Linked DNA regions of Mytilus edulis. The main gene of each other region encodes a partner of the protein of the gene in region 2 in a complex. Links are inferred from orthologs where the notes say so. Each region holds a gene or a part of one and is shown on either strand. Other genes may lie near its edges. The genes, in order: proteasomal ubiquitin receptor ADRM1-like and 26S proteasome regulatory subunit 6A-B.

Region 1 (7,779 bases), on a different chromosome or scaffold from region 2:
CAAATGATTAAACTCAGTTGCTTATCAAACATTTTCTGAGAATGAAAATAAAATTCTTTCTGACATCTCAAGACCTACCTACATCCAAAAAAAGAACTAACTCCTTGAAGTTGAAGTCTTCAACTTAAGGACGTTAGACTCTCCCTGTTCATGTAAGACCTACCTGCATCCAAAAGAAGAACTTTCTGCTTGATGTCTTGAACTTGAGGACATAAGACTCACCCTGTTCATGTAAGACCTAAAATTGAGAATGGAAATGGGGAATGTGCCAAAGAGACAACAACCCGACCAAATAAAAAACAACAGCAGAGGGTCACCAACAGGTCTTCAATGTAGCGAGAAATTCCCGCACCCGGAGGCGTCCTTCAGCTGGCCCCTAAAAAAATATATACTAGTCCAGTGATAATGAACGCCATACTAATTTCCAAAATGTACATGCATCCAAAAGAAGAAATTTCTGCTGGATGTCTTGAACTTGAGGACATTAGACTCACCCTGTTCATGTAAGACCTACCTGCATCCAAAAGAAGAAATTTCTGCTGGATGTCTTGAACTTGAGGACATAAGACTCACCCTGTTCATGTAAAACCTACCTGCATCCAAAAGAAGAACTTTCTGCTTGATGTCTTGAACTTGAGGACATAAGACTCACCCTGTTCATGTAAAACCTACCTGCATCCAAAAGAAGAACTTTCTGCTGGATGTCTTGAACTTGAGGACATAGACTCTTCCTGTTGTACACTGAGTAACATGTTTGAACTCAATATCATCTGGGAAGATTATCAAATCCTAAAAATATAAAGAGAATACAATTATCTCACCACAATGTATCACAAACAAGAAGCTTGCAAGAGTCTTTACTGCTCACCTTGCATTTGCTAAAAATAAGTTATTAAGGATACATCCTATAGTTTTTGTTGTATTTGAGTTTTTGTAGACCATGTTTTTTTATTACTTTTGCTGATTAAGGTTTCTACTTGTTTTTGTTTTTGTGCCAACTCAAATGAGGGATTGTTACTCATTTGGGTAGTACGAGATTACTCTGAGGTCCAACGGCTGTTTTGCCAGACAAGCTGGGGCCGTGGGACGTCAGAGCTTGTCCCATATCAAAAAGTGGATATTTGCCCACCCAAAATAGATGCACTGCTTCGTCGCTTCTGGTGCCGACTGACGGCCCCAGAATTATATAAATCAGGCATCAATCTGTTCATTTTTCATTTATCTCTTCATTTATGTAAGTTTTACCTACCTGCCAACCTTTATTTTCTCAGAATTAGACAGTTTTCACAGTGACCCATAGATTTCGGCATTTTGACTTTCACTTTCAAATGGACGTCAAGTAACGAGAGAGTCCGTGGTCTCGAGACTCAAAATATGCAAATATTTATATTTGTTCACCTCCTTTATAGGAGATCGATGTTTAACATTTAGTAGCCAACCACGGGTTTTCACCTCCTTTACCAGTCAGAGCTCAGACATAAATAAGTCTGAATCTGCTTTTGACTCATAGAGGTCTTAATTTGTAAGTTTTAGGAGTTGTCTCCCTTTAATGTAAGACAAAATACGACTTGAATAAGTCCAATATTGTTAAACAAGAAATAATTGACCAGAATCAAAAAGTTTCAAATATCGACTCCTACAAGTCGATGAGTGATCAAAATTGGTTAACTTCAAGACCCATACATATTTATAAGGAGGTCATGCATCTAAATCAAATAATGACAACATTGAAAGCCAATACTTTGTCTTCTATAGAAAAATATGAATGAGAGTCTAAAAAATCGAAGATAATGTTCATTAACCTTACAATGCAACCACCTGGAATCACACTTAATGAGGTAAAACATCTGTGTTTAGTAAGGATGTCCACTTAGATAATTAAATATAGATAGCTCAAGTCCTTGTGAACTCTCATACAGGTTTTTGCTGTCATAGGTGGTGTAGTTTGGCCACAAAGTAACATTAAGTTTTTTCACCAACATAAATAGACCTAAACAAGTCTGCCATTTTCTGACTTAGATAAGTCTAAAATTGAAACTACATTTTTATAATAAATACATGTTTTGACTTATTTAAGTCAAAAACAAAAATCGACTGTTTACCATGTTGACAGGAGATCGATATGAAGCATTTAGTTCAGACCACATTACAATCGGAAGCTCTTAGATAACTTGCATCGTAAATGAACAAGTGTTACATTATGGTCATTTGCATAAATCATCACTGTTTTCTTGTGGTCATGTGATAATCTTTGAAAATGAAAGGCAAAATGCTGAAATCGATGGGTCACTGTGAAAACTGTCTAATTATGAGAAAATATTATAAAGGTTGGCAGGTAGGTGTAACTTACATAAATGAGGATATAAATGAAAAATGAACAGATTGATGCACGATTTATATAATCCCAAGGCCGTCAGTCGGCACCAGAAGCAACGAAGCAGCGCATCTACTTTGGGTGGGCAAATATCCACTTTTTGATATGGGACGAGCTCTGACGTCCCATGGCCCCAGCTTGTCTGGCAAAACAGCCGTTGGACATCAGAGTAATCTCGGACTATCATTTGGGGAACAGTTCCCCATTTGGTGGGTTGTCCCCAACCTGATTAATGTACCTGAAAACAGGAAATTACAAAAAAATGAGAATTGCTTAAGTTTAAGCGTCATACAGGAATATGACAAAGCAGTAGGCAGGATTCAGGATCAAAAACCCCAAATGAGACCCCCTTGAAAAACACCCTCCCCCTTTTCCTCCTAATTTCAAAAAGTCAGTACATAGAAAATTATGTACAGATAATTATGTACAGATACACTGTAATTTGTTGTGTAAATCTAACATTTCCTTTCTTTAAATATTAGCAATATCTAGAGCAATACAATGCATACATCAACATGAAATATATTAAAAACCCAAAATGACATAGCAGTTTTCGTACATCTTCAATCGTGCCGGTGCCCCTGTCCTTCCAACAAAAGTGCATTAGAGAGTCTTCAGCCTGATACACGTAGAGCAACCCCTTCCTTTTATCTGGGTGGACCATTTTCTCTTTCATGAACATTTTGCCACATCGAAATTCAACCAGATTCTTGCTCTGAGAGCGACTATTTCCACCGAACAAAGCTCCAGTAGCCATTTTCAAAGTTTTTTGTACAGGAAGTGAATTGGGTAAATAGACTTTTACCATAGGGTAGGGCAGTAATTTTCATCTGTTCAAAAAATCATGAAACTAATCTTTCAATTTGAAAAATTATAGCAAATGTATCATCTTTTAAAAACAGAGAGTATTTTTTCCCATGAAAATGAATTATCTATATCAATTCATTTGAATTAACTTAATTTGGGAAAAGACTAATCTTTGTCCCCTGTCTGGAAAATGGACTTATCCTGTCAAGTTCAAGGAAAAATTCACAGGGGAGATAATTTGGGGTTACACTAATGACTGGACCGAATGACAGGACCGAATGACAGGACCAAATGAAAAATGCTAATAACTTTTTCATTTCGCAAAGGATTGATCTGAAATTTGAAATATAATAAGATTTCATCATTTGATATATAGATTTAAAAAAAAAATAAAGAAAAATTGTAAGAAACTTTAGAAAACGTGACATGACCAACTCTGATAATGACAGGACCAACATTGACAATGACAGGACCAAATCAAATTGCTAATAACTTTTTTGTTTTTCAAAGGAATTATTTCAGATTTGAAATATAAAATGGTATGTCATATTTTGAAACCAAAATGTTATAAAAATTATAGATTTATTTTCAAAAACTTTCGAAAACGTGACATGACCAACATCGACAATGACCGGACCAGATGAAATTGCTAATTTCTCTTTTATTTCTCAAAATATTTTTCTGAAATTTGAAATATAATAAGATTTCATCATTTATCAAATAAATTTAAAAAAAAATACACAAAAAATATGTAAGAAACTTTAGAAAACGTGACATGACCAACTCTGATAATGACAGGACCAACTTCGACAATAACAGGACCAAATAAAAATGCTAATATCTTTTTTATTTTACAAAAGAATTATCTCAGATTTGAAACATAAAATGATATGTCACATTTTGAAACATTTATGTTATAAAAAATAAAGATTTATTTTCAAAAACTTTCAAAATCGTGACATGATCCCATCGCTGACTGACATGACCAAGCTCGACAATGTCCTGAACAAATGAAATTGCTAATTATTCTTTTATTTCGCAGAATATTTCTCTGAAATTAAAATATGTGAAGATTATACCATTTTATACATAAATATAAGAAAAAGGTATAAAAAGCTTGCTGAAATGTGATCTGGTTAACGTTGTCAATAACAGGACAATCCTCGACAATTAATGACAGGACCAAATAAAAATGCTAATTATGCATAACATTTGTCAGAATATTCCTCTCAAATTTGAAATAATGACAATTAAGACCATTTTGCACATCATATAAGAAAAATATAGAAAAAAAAACGTATTGAAAGCTTGCGGTTGTGTGACCTGACCAACATCGGCTATGATCTGGCCAATGATTTTACTGAAATTGTTCAATTCTGATCCATAATTAGTAAGATATATCTTATAAATTCAGCAAAATATATTCTATGGTGGTTAAAATTCTTGACCCATAGCTACTAAACATGCTAAACGTATGTTGGCAGAGAGTCACAGGACATGCAGAGTCACAGGACAAAAAGACACGAATGATCACTATATTTAAGAAAGAGATCTTGAAATATTTATATGTAATTACATATAATCATTTTATTGTTTAAGAGATTGTTCATTAAACTATAGATAAATTCAGATTTATTGAATTGTCATCATAATATTTCTTGACATCATGAAGCCCAATTTAAGCCACTTTGAAAAGGTATCAAACCTTTTAAAGTAGTCCGTGAAAATGTTTGATTCAGTATATTCTATGAAAATATTTGAAACTACCAAGAAATCATGCATGCAAGGGTCGGGCATACTTCAAGAAATGTTTATTTGTTTATTTATTATGAGGGGGGAAACTATCAAGATATACCCTGCATATACTCAAGCATACATGGAAATAATTATTTAATGTTCTGAAAATATTGAATAAAACAACGACTTGAACTATTATGTGATTTTAATTACTGTCATCACAATCTTTATTGGATTTATCAACTTATTTATGGCTTATGTCACACCTTTTGTTTGTTACCTTATAATTGTTTTCAGACGTGTCAGATTATGTCCGGTAATTAATACACAAAATAATCTGAATGAATGAATGATCTTTATTCTCAACCCAAATACATAGTTAAAGAGTTATATTAAGATATAGCATGTGCGAAATATCAATTAATATGATAAATATTTACACCAAAGATAAATAAAGTTAGCTTTTTCCCTTATTTTCTAAAAGCTTATAAATCATTCAATCTTAATGTGTGTGTTTTAATTATTATTATTAATTTCAACCAGGATTTCTATAGTAGGGACTATGGTCATTTCACGTTTTCGCAATAAAAAAAATCTAGATTTTTTTTCTTTAATTGATGTTTTAAAAGATGAGATCACATTTTATTTTAAATCTGACATAATTCCTTTTCAAAATTAAAAAGTGAATAGCATTTTTATTTGGTCCTGTCCTTGTCAAGGTTTGTCCTGTCATTGTTAGTGTTGGTCAGGTCACATTACAGCAAGCTTTAAGTATTTTTTTTCCTATATCATTCCTATTTTTATGTATAAAATGGTTAAATCTGACTATATCTCAAATTTCAGAAAAATATTTTTTAGAAATAAAAAGTAATTAGCAATTTCATCTGGTCCTGTCATTGTCGAGGTTGGTCCTGTCAGTCAGCGATGGTTATGTCACGTTTAAACTTTCTATATTTTTTATAACATTTATTTTTCAAAATATGACATATTATTTTATATTTCAAATCTGTGAGAATTCCTTTGAAAAATAAAAAAAGTTATTAGCATTTTACTTTGGTCCTGTCATTGTCGATCATGTCATTATCAGAGTTGGTCATGTCACGTTTTCTAAAGTTTCTTACATTTTTTTTAATTTTTTTTTCTTAAATCTATTTATCAAATGATGAAATCTTATTATATATCAAATTTCAGAAAAATATTTTGAGAAATAAAAGAGAAATTAGCAATTTTATCTGGTCCAGTCATTGTCGAGGTTGGTCCTGTCAATCAGCGATGGTCATGTCACTTTTTCGAAAGTTTTTGAAAATAAATCTATATTTTTTACAACATTTTTGTTTCAAAATATGACATACCATTTTATATTTCAAATCTGAAATAATTCCTTTGAAAAACAAAAAAGTTATTAGCATTTTTATTTGGTCCTGTCATTCTCGATGTTGGTCCTGTCATTATCAAAGTTGGTCATGTCACATTTTCTAAAGTTTCTTACAAAACTTTTTAATTTTTTTCTTAAATCTATTTATCAAATGATGAAATCTTATTATATTTCAAATTTGAGATCAATCCTTTGAGAAATGAAAAAGTTATTAGCATTTTTCATTTGGTCCTGTCATTCGGTCCTGTCATTCGGTCCAGTCATTAGTGTAACCCGATAATTTGACATTTCTCTCACATGTGATGTTTTGATGCAGCAAAGATGGACTTTGGTGCTCTTTCAGAATTTTGCCGGGAAAATGCCTCAATATTGATAGCTTTAACTTTTATTATATTATACATCTGTTATTACTATCTTTTTGTAGTCAAGGTAAGCTGTCAAACTTTAGAAAATAGCAATTACTAAATTATTAATAAACTTACTGAAGACAGTCATTGACACTGACAGTCATGTCTGAATTTTTTTATTTTTAGGTTTTATTGGGGATCTCATTGGGGGTTCTAATCCCCGATATCGCTTACTGTTTTGTCAGATTCCTGAATCTCGCTTACATTATATACATAAGCAAAGTTGAAGATGAGCTTCATTTCTTATTAGAATGCCCTCTTTATGATATTCAAATTTAAAGGGACGATTTTTTTCAAGACATTTCTAACAATTGTTGTAATTTTACAAATTTAAATAAATCTAAATTTGTATTGCTCTTGACCCAAGAAAATGTTACTCTTATGGAAAAACTGGGCTGTTATATATGTGACTGTTTTGAATTTAAGAAGAGATCAGGTATGAACACTGACACCAAGTCAAGTAAATAATTTGAGAATAAATACATATACATGTATAATGTAATTTTATTATTCTTTTATTCACAATATATATATGTGGTTTTTAGCTTGATTCTGACCAGGGATGATTCCAGGTGTTTACAAATGGGTCCCTTGAATATCAAATTGGGAATTTTTATCCCAATTGGGAATTTTTTATGCATACAATATAAGATGAAATAATATATCATTTTCCTGTAAAAACAGAAAATGAATATTAAGTTAATTTCTTCTGTACACTGATTGAAGAAATTATTGGATTCAGACCAGGGAAGTTGTAATACATGAATATCATTGCATATGATGCACTATCATCTTAACTTTGGTAAAGGAGGCCTATTACAAAAAACATATATACCACAAGTACCAGCTAACATAAACCTATGACAGGCCCTTTAGCTATTTATTCCAGTTTCAAATTATCTCATAAGATATATGATATCTCATATAATATATAAGATTTATTTAAGATATCTTAAAGTATATGAAATATCTTATAAATATGTTTTGTATAAGAGATATCTTAATATATAGTTAATTGGATATCATATTAAGAAAATTATATGAGATATCTTATAAACCATGTATAAGACATCTCATAA
Region 2 (7,859 bases):
ATTGCAGGGTTTGTATAATTTATGTAAGACTAATGTGGTCAATTTGTTTGATAGTTTAGGAGGTGGTGCATTGTATTCAAAGGTTTACCTTGTGACATGTCTCTGATTGTTTAGTGATAATGACAGTTGTCAATCATACTAGTATTGTATCAATACCCAATTACTTAATCAAAATGTTTTAAAAAAAAAGCCTGCACATCAACACACATTAGTAATGACATACAATCTTGAATGAACTGCTCCAATAATATACCCATTTTTTCAGTTTAGATGTTTATTATGAGCACATACATGAGAACAATAGGGAACTATATTTCAGTGTGAATACATTTACTAACAGTAGCTAACCTGTCGTGTTGTATGGGAGGCCGGTGCCTTAGTAAAGATTTAGAACAAGTTCTAATCTTTTCAAAAATGATATCAGATAATGATATTATATGTTATGTCACGATGTGTATGTTTGTTGTATGTTATATGTATTCAGGATGCAGTGTTCTCCCCAGGCCCTTAAAGGACCACGGGCCCGCGATGTATAATTTTCTGCCGCTGTGGTATCGTTCTTGCCGCGATGTATAATTTTTTTCCGTGGTGCTAAAGTTTTCGGTAAAAAAATCGTATTAAAATCGGTAAAGTTTCAGATGACTTCAACTTTACATCAAAATTGACCAGTTCTAACCAGTTTAATCCAGTATTGACAAGATGATTGTTTACACCACGTGATCGATTTACCTGTTGAGGTTAACCTTGATGATTGGATTTAATCGATGTACATGATTCTTTTGTGTTTTAATTAATTAAGAGATCATAATTTAAATAACAGACTTGTGAGGGACAAGCAGACATTTGTTAATGAACCCTATTACGCCAGTCTCAAGTCAAAATAATTTGCCTTTTAGGAATTAATTGTGGAGTTACTTCCCCTGATTTTGTTAATTACAAATAAATGCTCCTCACATATAATTTCTCATTGCAAATAAAAATAAAGTACAAATTGAATGCAAAATTATATTAGAATGTTACATTAAGGATGAAAACATTCTTAGAACATACCAACAAAAATGTTTTGCAAATTATTTTTGAGAATCATACCATTATTGATGCACAGACATATTATAATAAACGGGTAATTTATACAATGTTAAAATATTTGAGTGTAACAGGTCTAAAAAGCCTACTGCCACAACTCTAATACATTCCCATGCAGGACTAAAGCTAGGGATGAACCTTGTGAATAGAAAACTCTTTTAAAGTACTCTCCATGTCTGTAACAAAGTATTAATCATAAAAACAAATTTGTTGTTGTCTAAAAGAATCAGATCTAAAACTATGGAAATAGTTTTTAATTTACTGAAGGTTCTGTATCAAAAATCTTGTTCAAAGTTCATTGTTATGGGGAATGTGTAGTGTAACTACAAGTATCGGGACAAAATGGCTTGATCAAAATATAAGAAGAGACTTTAGCTTAAAGACTAATTGTGCTTTCTTTTATTTATTCTTCAAAGATATTAAAGTATACAAACTGTTTATTAATTTACTTTTTCTACCAATAATTTTCTGACCCAAAGTCCTACAACACAGTTCCACAATAAACAAAACAACTTTTTAGGCAAACAGGTAATGACAAAAAGTAACAAGAAAAAAAATAAGCGACGCAAAGCGACACAAAATACTGTAAAATTCATTTCGTCACGCGTTACCCTGGTGCTATCCAAAAATCCTGGGGAGAACACTGGGATGCCAGAACTTTATTTATTTGTTATACATTTGTTTTAATTGTTTATCATCATTTATGTATCATTGTCATTTTGCGTAGTTTCTTTTGCTACCTATTCAGACTTCTTTTAAACTGAGTTTTACTACATGAGTATTGCTATGTGTTTCTGTATTCTACATTGGCCAGAGGTATAGGGGAAGACTGAGATCTCACAAAAATATGTTTAACCCAGTCGCTTTTTTGTGCCTGTCCAAAGTCAGGAGATTCTGTCCCCTGTTGCTAAAATAAACATTTGGGAGGTTCTGATGATGTTGATAGAGGGCTGTTTAATGTCCAGCAGTTAATTAAATGTATTAAGGACAAGAATATGTTAAAGTAATATAAATATTAACCCTGCTTTAAACTAGAATATGCTAGAAAACAAGGAGGAAGACAGTCACCCTACCCTAACTCTAAGTTTATTTGTTTTTGCTTTTACTCCTTAAACAGGCTTAATACCATGTGGTTAGTTGAGAAGTAGCAGTTATTATTTGGCCGAGGTTCAAATCCACATCCTTCCACCCTTGAGTGGAACTCTCTACAACTTGACCATCAAGGGGGTCTATACATGTAGGTCTAAAAATGACAATCAGAGACAGGTGAAGCAAGAAGACCATTAGGCAAGTGTAACTTAGTCACGGATACATCGGTAATAGAATATGGTTTTGTCATTTGGGAACAGAGAAAACCAGAGGCTGACTATGTTCTATAAAGTGGTTGAGTGATGGGTGCAAGCTATTAAACCAACAAACTATCTGCAATAAATAAGAAATAAAGCCAAGTCAAGGCAGTGATTTTCAATACACAAACATCGTAGAAAGACAAGATCATTCAAACTGATAGACTGCAAAACCAGACATCAATAAGAACTCTTTTCTTCCAAAAAAAAAAATAATGCAGTGGTCATGACAAAACTAGCAAAAATTGAGGGTTTCACGGCTGCCTTTCAACACTTTTGGACATACCAACCAGTACTTCTTCCAGTACACATATACCCGTAATCAGATCCTGCTCTAGCCTCTGTGTAACTAACATGCAGATACAGACTAACATAGCCTGTACTGACTACTATGTACTGGTAAATATACACATGGACATGAATGATTTTATAAAAAATGTAAATTCGAATATTTATTGCATTACAATGAACATTATATTAACGGGACAATAACGTATGAATGTAGGTTTAATGATAAATTTCACAGGTCAACTTGTCATTCCTGGGGAAAAGTGTATGTACGGTGACCGGCGAGAGGATGACGAAGGAAAATTGAATCATGTATTCTCCTAAAAACTACAAAGAACTTTTCCATAACATGATATATTGACTCTTATGGATACTGAAGGCGACTGTATTTCTGTTTACAGGTCTCCATGGTGGTTAATTTAGTGAAACTGTGCAATATTTGTGTTAAAATACCTCTCCATCGTCCCAAATTGCCTTGTCTTCGAGCGTCGCCATTTTCACTGAATGTCACGTGACAGATCCGAAACTTCGACCTTAAAAATATTAAATTCTTTTAAATTGCAATATTTCATATATTAATTTCCTTAAACAATGTTAGAAGCTTGCAATTGAATCAGGTTTGGTTTTGATTTTTTTTAGTGTAATTGAATAAATTGAATATGATTATAATATTGGGAAAAAATGACAAGTCGACACATTTTCACTCTATCGCCACTTGCAACTATTCGCTCCAAAATAAAAAAAATCATATACGTCGGTTCCTGCTCTACGCTACCAGTTCGGCCATACTTTGAAAAGTTGTTTCGGCCATGGCCATTATTGTCTTCAAGGAGAGGGAAATATCATTGTTTATAGGAACACACTTGTAAGGAAACAAATGGAAAAATCTCATTTCAGTATTCAAACACACCAGTACCCTCTATAACAACGGAGCAACTTGAGGTGTATATACAATATTTCAAGATCTATACATGCGGTATGAACTGATCTGAAATAGACTAAACAAAAAAGATATTCTAAAGTATACGGTATTCAGTAGGTAATATTACTGTAAAGGAATTAAACGTCTCACTGCTTGTGGATGGCATTATCAAATTCAGTTATTAATCTATTTTTATTGGCACTCTGGCCGATGGCAGTAAAATCAAAGATATGAAACTTTAAAAGAACTAAAATAATAGCAATAACAATTGTTTTATGTTGCGATATTTGATATGATTATACATATTCTATGATATTATCTCGACATCCTCTTTGTATGTGAATTATAATTTTAATTTTATCTCCATTATATGTTTATATGTTATAAATGAGAATGTATTGTGTAATAATTACATTAGATGTATGTTTCATTATAATATTTTATTCTGATTGGCTAACTGCACATGGTATCCGGTCGTTCCGGCCCCAAACCGATCCGGCCCCAAGTCAATCCGGCCCAAAGTCGATCCGGCCCAAGTCGATCCGGCCCACGTCGATCCGTCCCCAAGTCGATCCGGCCCCATAATAAAATATGAATTAACTAGATTTTGGAGGAATTTGTCACAAACTTTAACAGTATAAATGGAATTTGAAAAAAGTGTCCGATCGATGATGGAAATGGAATTTGAAAAAAGTGTCCGATCGATGATGGATGACAACAGGTCAGTGAAGTATTGGAGTACCAGTTAACGAACTATTTTAAATCCATACGAAAATTAGTGTTAAAATTGTGTCTGTTTGTATCGCAGTTTCTACATTTTTAAATTATGAAGTTATTTTCCATGATAACTTTTACTTTAAATTTCATGGCGATATTTATTTTATTCAGTTCACACACAGAATATCTAAATAAATAAATAATGGACCTATAAAATTCATGGAAAATTTAACGCATAATAATGACTTACAAATGTATTATATGTCTCTGGTTTAATCAAATCATTAGTCTATAATTGGTTTGTTTATTCAACAGTTGTCTGATAATTGTGAACTAAAGTAATGCCACTCGTAATCACTTAATTCAATCCAATGCTGATTAATTAAAGTTACGTAATCTGTTTTTCAACAAGGTCTTTATAGATCTTTATAGTTTGATCTTCTGGTTGGTGTATATTATAATAATTATTTGTATTTTTTTTTCAGGTTACATCATAGGCTTCTATAACATATAAAAATATGCTATTCTATAACACTTTTATATCAGCATAAAATATAATATCAGCACTCTTTTATAAAAAGGATCCGGCAAATCAAACAACATTTCTCAATTTTAGAAATTTTAAGAACTTAGAAAGAAAAACAAAGTTTATATGTATCAGCTTGGAGATCGGCTTGTACCGTTCATGTATGTAACTATTTGTTATTATATGTTACACAAGATGAAAGACTTGTTAGGATCACAGTCAATTGAAAGAAAATGCTAATTACTGCTGATTAATGTTGATGTCTGAATTCTTTTATATACGTTTTAATATAATTATACCCAATAATCTTGAAAACTTGTAATAAAGACATAATCAACCTAGTTGTTTTATACTCATCTAAAGAAAATATTTTTCAAAGGCCTTTTTTACTTTTTTTACCGTACACCTTTAACATTATAATAAAAATAATAAACATTTATGAATTACAATTAATATATATTTATTTTTATTCCTTAGAAATATTTTTTTTTATTGGGGCCGGATCGACTTTACATATGGGCCGGATCGACGTGGGGCCGGATCGACGTGGGACGGATCGACTTGGGCCGGATCGACGTGGGGCCGGATCGACCCGAAAGCACTGCACATCACGTGTTATTCCGTAAGCAGTTGTAATGATCAATACAACTTTTCATTCATGATAACACGTGCTCCAACAATAAAGTGCACAGGTGAATTAAATAATAAAATATATAAAATTCGTGTTTTCGTGATCATAGCTAAAAAATGTAATTATAAGTATTGAATGCTTCTTTTTGTAACTTTATATGGTTGTAAAAGCGTTGACCGTGCGTACATTTTAGAATGAAGCGCTTCCGCGCTTCATACAAAATGTACTTCGGTCAACGCTTTTACACCCCAATAAATTTACAAAAAGAAGCATTCAATTCTTAATTGTTGTCATTATGTCCCGTCAGAGGCCCTTAATTGGAAAATAAAGAACTATGAACTAACTATACACTGAACGAAATGCCAACATTTATAGAATAGGAAAATCTCTGTTTTTTAAGATTATGAAGTGAAGTAAATGTTACTTATTCAACACTGTAATGTTTTAAATATAACACATATGTAATTTCACGACACTACAATCTGTGGATACATAATATAGTTTAGGATTGCACAAGCTCACGTTTTCCTAAAACTGTTTATGACGACTTTGCATTAAATCCATTGGATGTTGGACGTGTATTGATTGATATCTTAGTTTTAGATGTATGATTTTTTTTATTATTTGTCACAATCATTTTAACCCCGCCACATTCTTTGCCGGTGTGCCTTTAATTCAGGAGCCTATAGTTCAGTGGTTTTCGTTGGTTCATGTCTGTCATATAATTATTTGTGTTTCGTTCATTGTTTACTTATAAATTAGAAAAATAGTTTTCTAAATATATTTCTTATATTTCATGTTGTGGCCTTTACAGTCGATCAGACGGTTTGTGTTTTTCTCATTATTGAAGGCCGTATTGTTGCCTTGCTTACATCCTCTTCCTTTGAACTTTGGTGGGTAGGTCAGTGTCTCATTGGTAGTCATACGTGTTCTAATTTTTATATACAGAGTTTATCGGTGCGAGCCAATGCTCCGTATTGAAGACAATACTTTGACATATAATGGTTTTCTTTCATAAATAAATTTTGATTTGAATAGAGAGTTGTCTCATACCGACATCTTCTTATAACTATTTGTAAATCAAAACTGACAACAGGAACAAACCGTCATTAACCTTACAGGGCTGTAACTTGCCCAATAATTAAACTTTCATAACAGACCCAATATTAGCATATGTTTGTCACAATATTTTAATACTAGAACACACCCGTGATATCACGGGTCCGTGACTGAATTAAAGTATATAACTATGCGCAAGCCTTATTTTAGTATTAGTATTGTCATCTGATAAAGTCATGCCGATTATAAGATACACAGTTTTTCTCTGCTTTCAAGTCTTTCTGTTTGAACCCGTCGAACTGAAACAATAATATTAATTATTTGGAAAACAAAAGGTCCTGGAATGGAGTATTTTTTAATCAACAGCATTGTCCTATATAAGTTATCAATAAAGTTGAATTCTTTGCTTCGCTGTTTTACGTCATGCCCACTAACAAATTGAAAACTGTACCTATACGCCTTATTTTTAGTCCAGATTTTTAGTATTCGTATTGTTATCTTAGAAAGTCGTACTGATTAAAATACTACAATAGGTAACAATTTGACAATTTAGTAGTGTCAACCCTGTGGTTATGACCCGTGTATATAGCATATTAATCCTGAATACAACGTTTGGTGGTGCGCCTGTCAGATGCGGAACGTACAGATAAGGTAATAGGTAACAGGTGAATATACTATTGGTATCGGTAGCGGACTCGACCCAGAACTTCTTAATTATTGGCAATATTAATTACGTGGAATACAAAAGGGCCTGGAGTGGTGTAATTTTTAATCTACACCTTTGTACTATATTAGTTATATATAAAGTTGAATTCTGTGATTCGTCGTTTTTACGTGATGACGGCTGACAAATTGGACCTCGTAATTTTAGTATTATAGATATAACCAGGGTTTAAGCTAGGATTTTGAGGGCTTTATTCCCTTTTGCGCGCTATTATATTCAACCTATGTTTGTGTAACAGCAATGTACCAAGGATGTATATTACTAGCTTCTTCATCCTCGACATTGTCAGACTTTAAATTAAGGACTTAGGCATGATTGGCAGTTATTGTATGATTTGACTGTATTGGCCCTTATTATGAAAGATTCTGACATGAGATCCGGGAATTTAGTTTACAATTTCTCTTCAGTTTCTTCCAGGGGACATTGCTGATCAACAAAAGTTGGATTCCATTTCTTTAACACAAGGAATTAAAGCAGAAATTAAGTTGCAACGATTATCTCATTGCATAATCATTATCCTTATAAAACGTCCAGTGGCGGATGCAGGTATTTTCGAAAGG

What was found.
Region 1: 26S proteasome regulatory subunit 6A-B (region 2) and proteasomal ubiquitin receptor ADRM1-like share a complex: the UniProt entries of both Caenorhabditis elegans proteins name them as parts of the 19S proteasome regulatory particle complex. The link is inferred for Mytilus edulis from reciprocal best matches to the Caenorhabditis elegans genes rpt-5 and rpn-13.

The regions. Positions count from the first base shown.
Region 1 is NC_092355.1:80,494,534-80,502,312, forward strand, and holds the start of proteasomal ubiquitin receptor ADRM1-like, read right to left. Parts: upstream 3,173-7,779; 5' UTR 3,132-3,172; coding exon 2,934-3,131; intron 790-2,933; coding exon 673-789; intron 1-672. Other genes in the region: phospholipase ABHD3-like, read left to right, coding at 6,615-6,722. UniProt on the Caenorhabditis elegans protein: May function as a proteasomal ubiquitin receptor. May promote the deubiquitinating activity associated with the 26S proteasome.
Region 2 is NC_092352.1:86,138,423-86,146,281, reverse strand, and holds the start of 26S proteasome regulatory subunit 6A-B, read right to left. Parts: upstream 3,269-7,859; 5' UTR 3,216-3,268; coding exon 3,174-3,215; intron 1-3,173. UniProt on the Caenorhabditis elegans protein: Component of the 26S proteasome, a multiprotein complex involved in the ATP-dependent degradation of ubiquitinated proteins.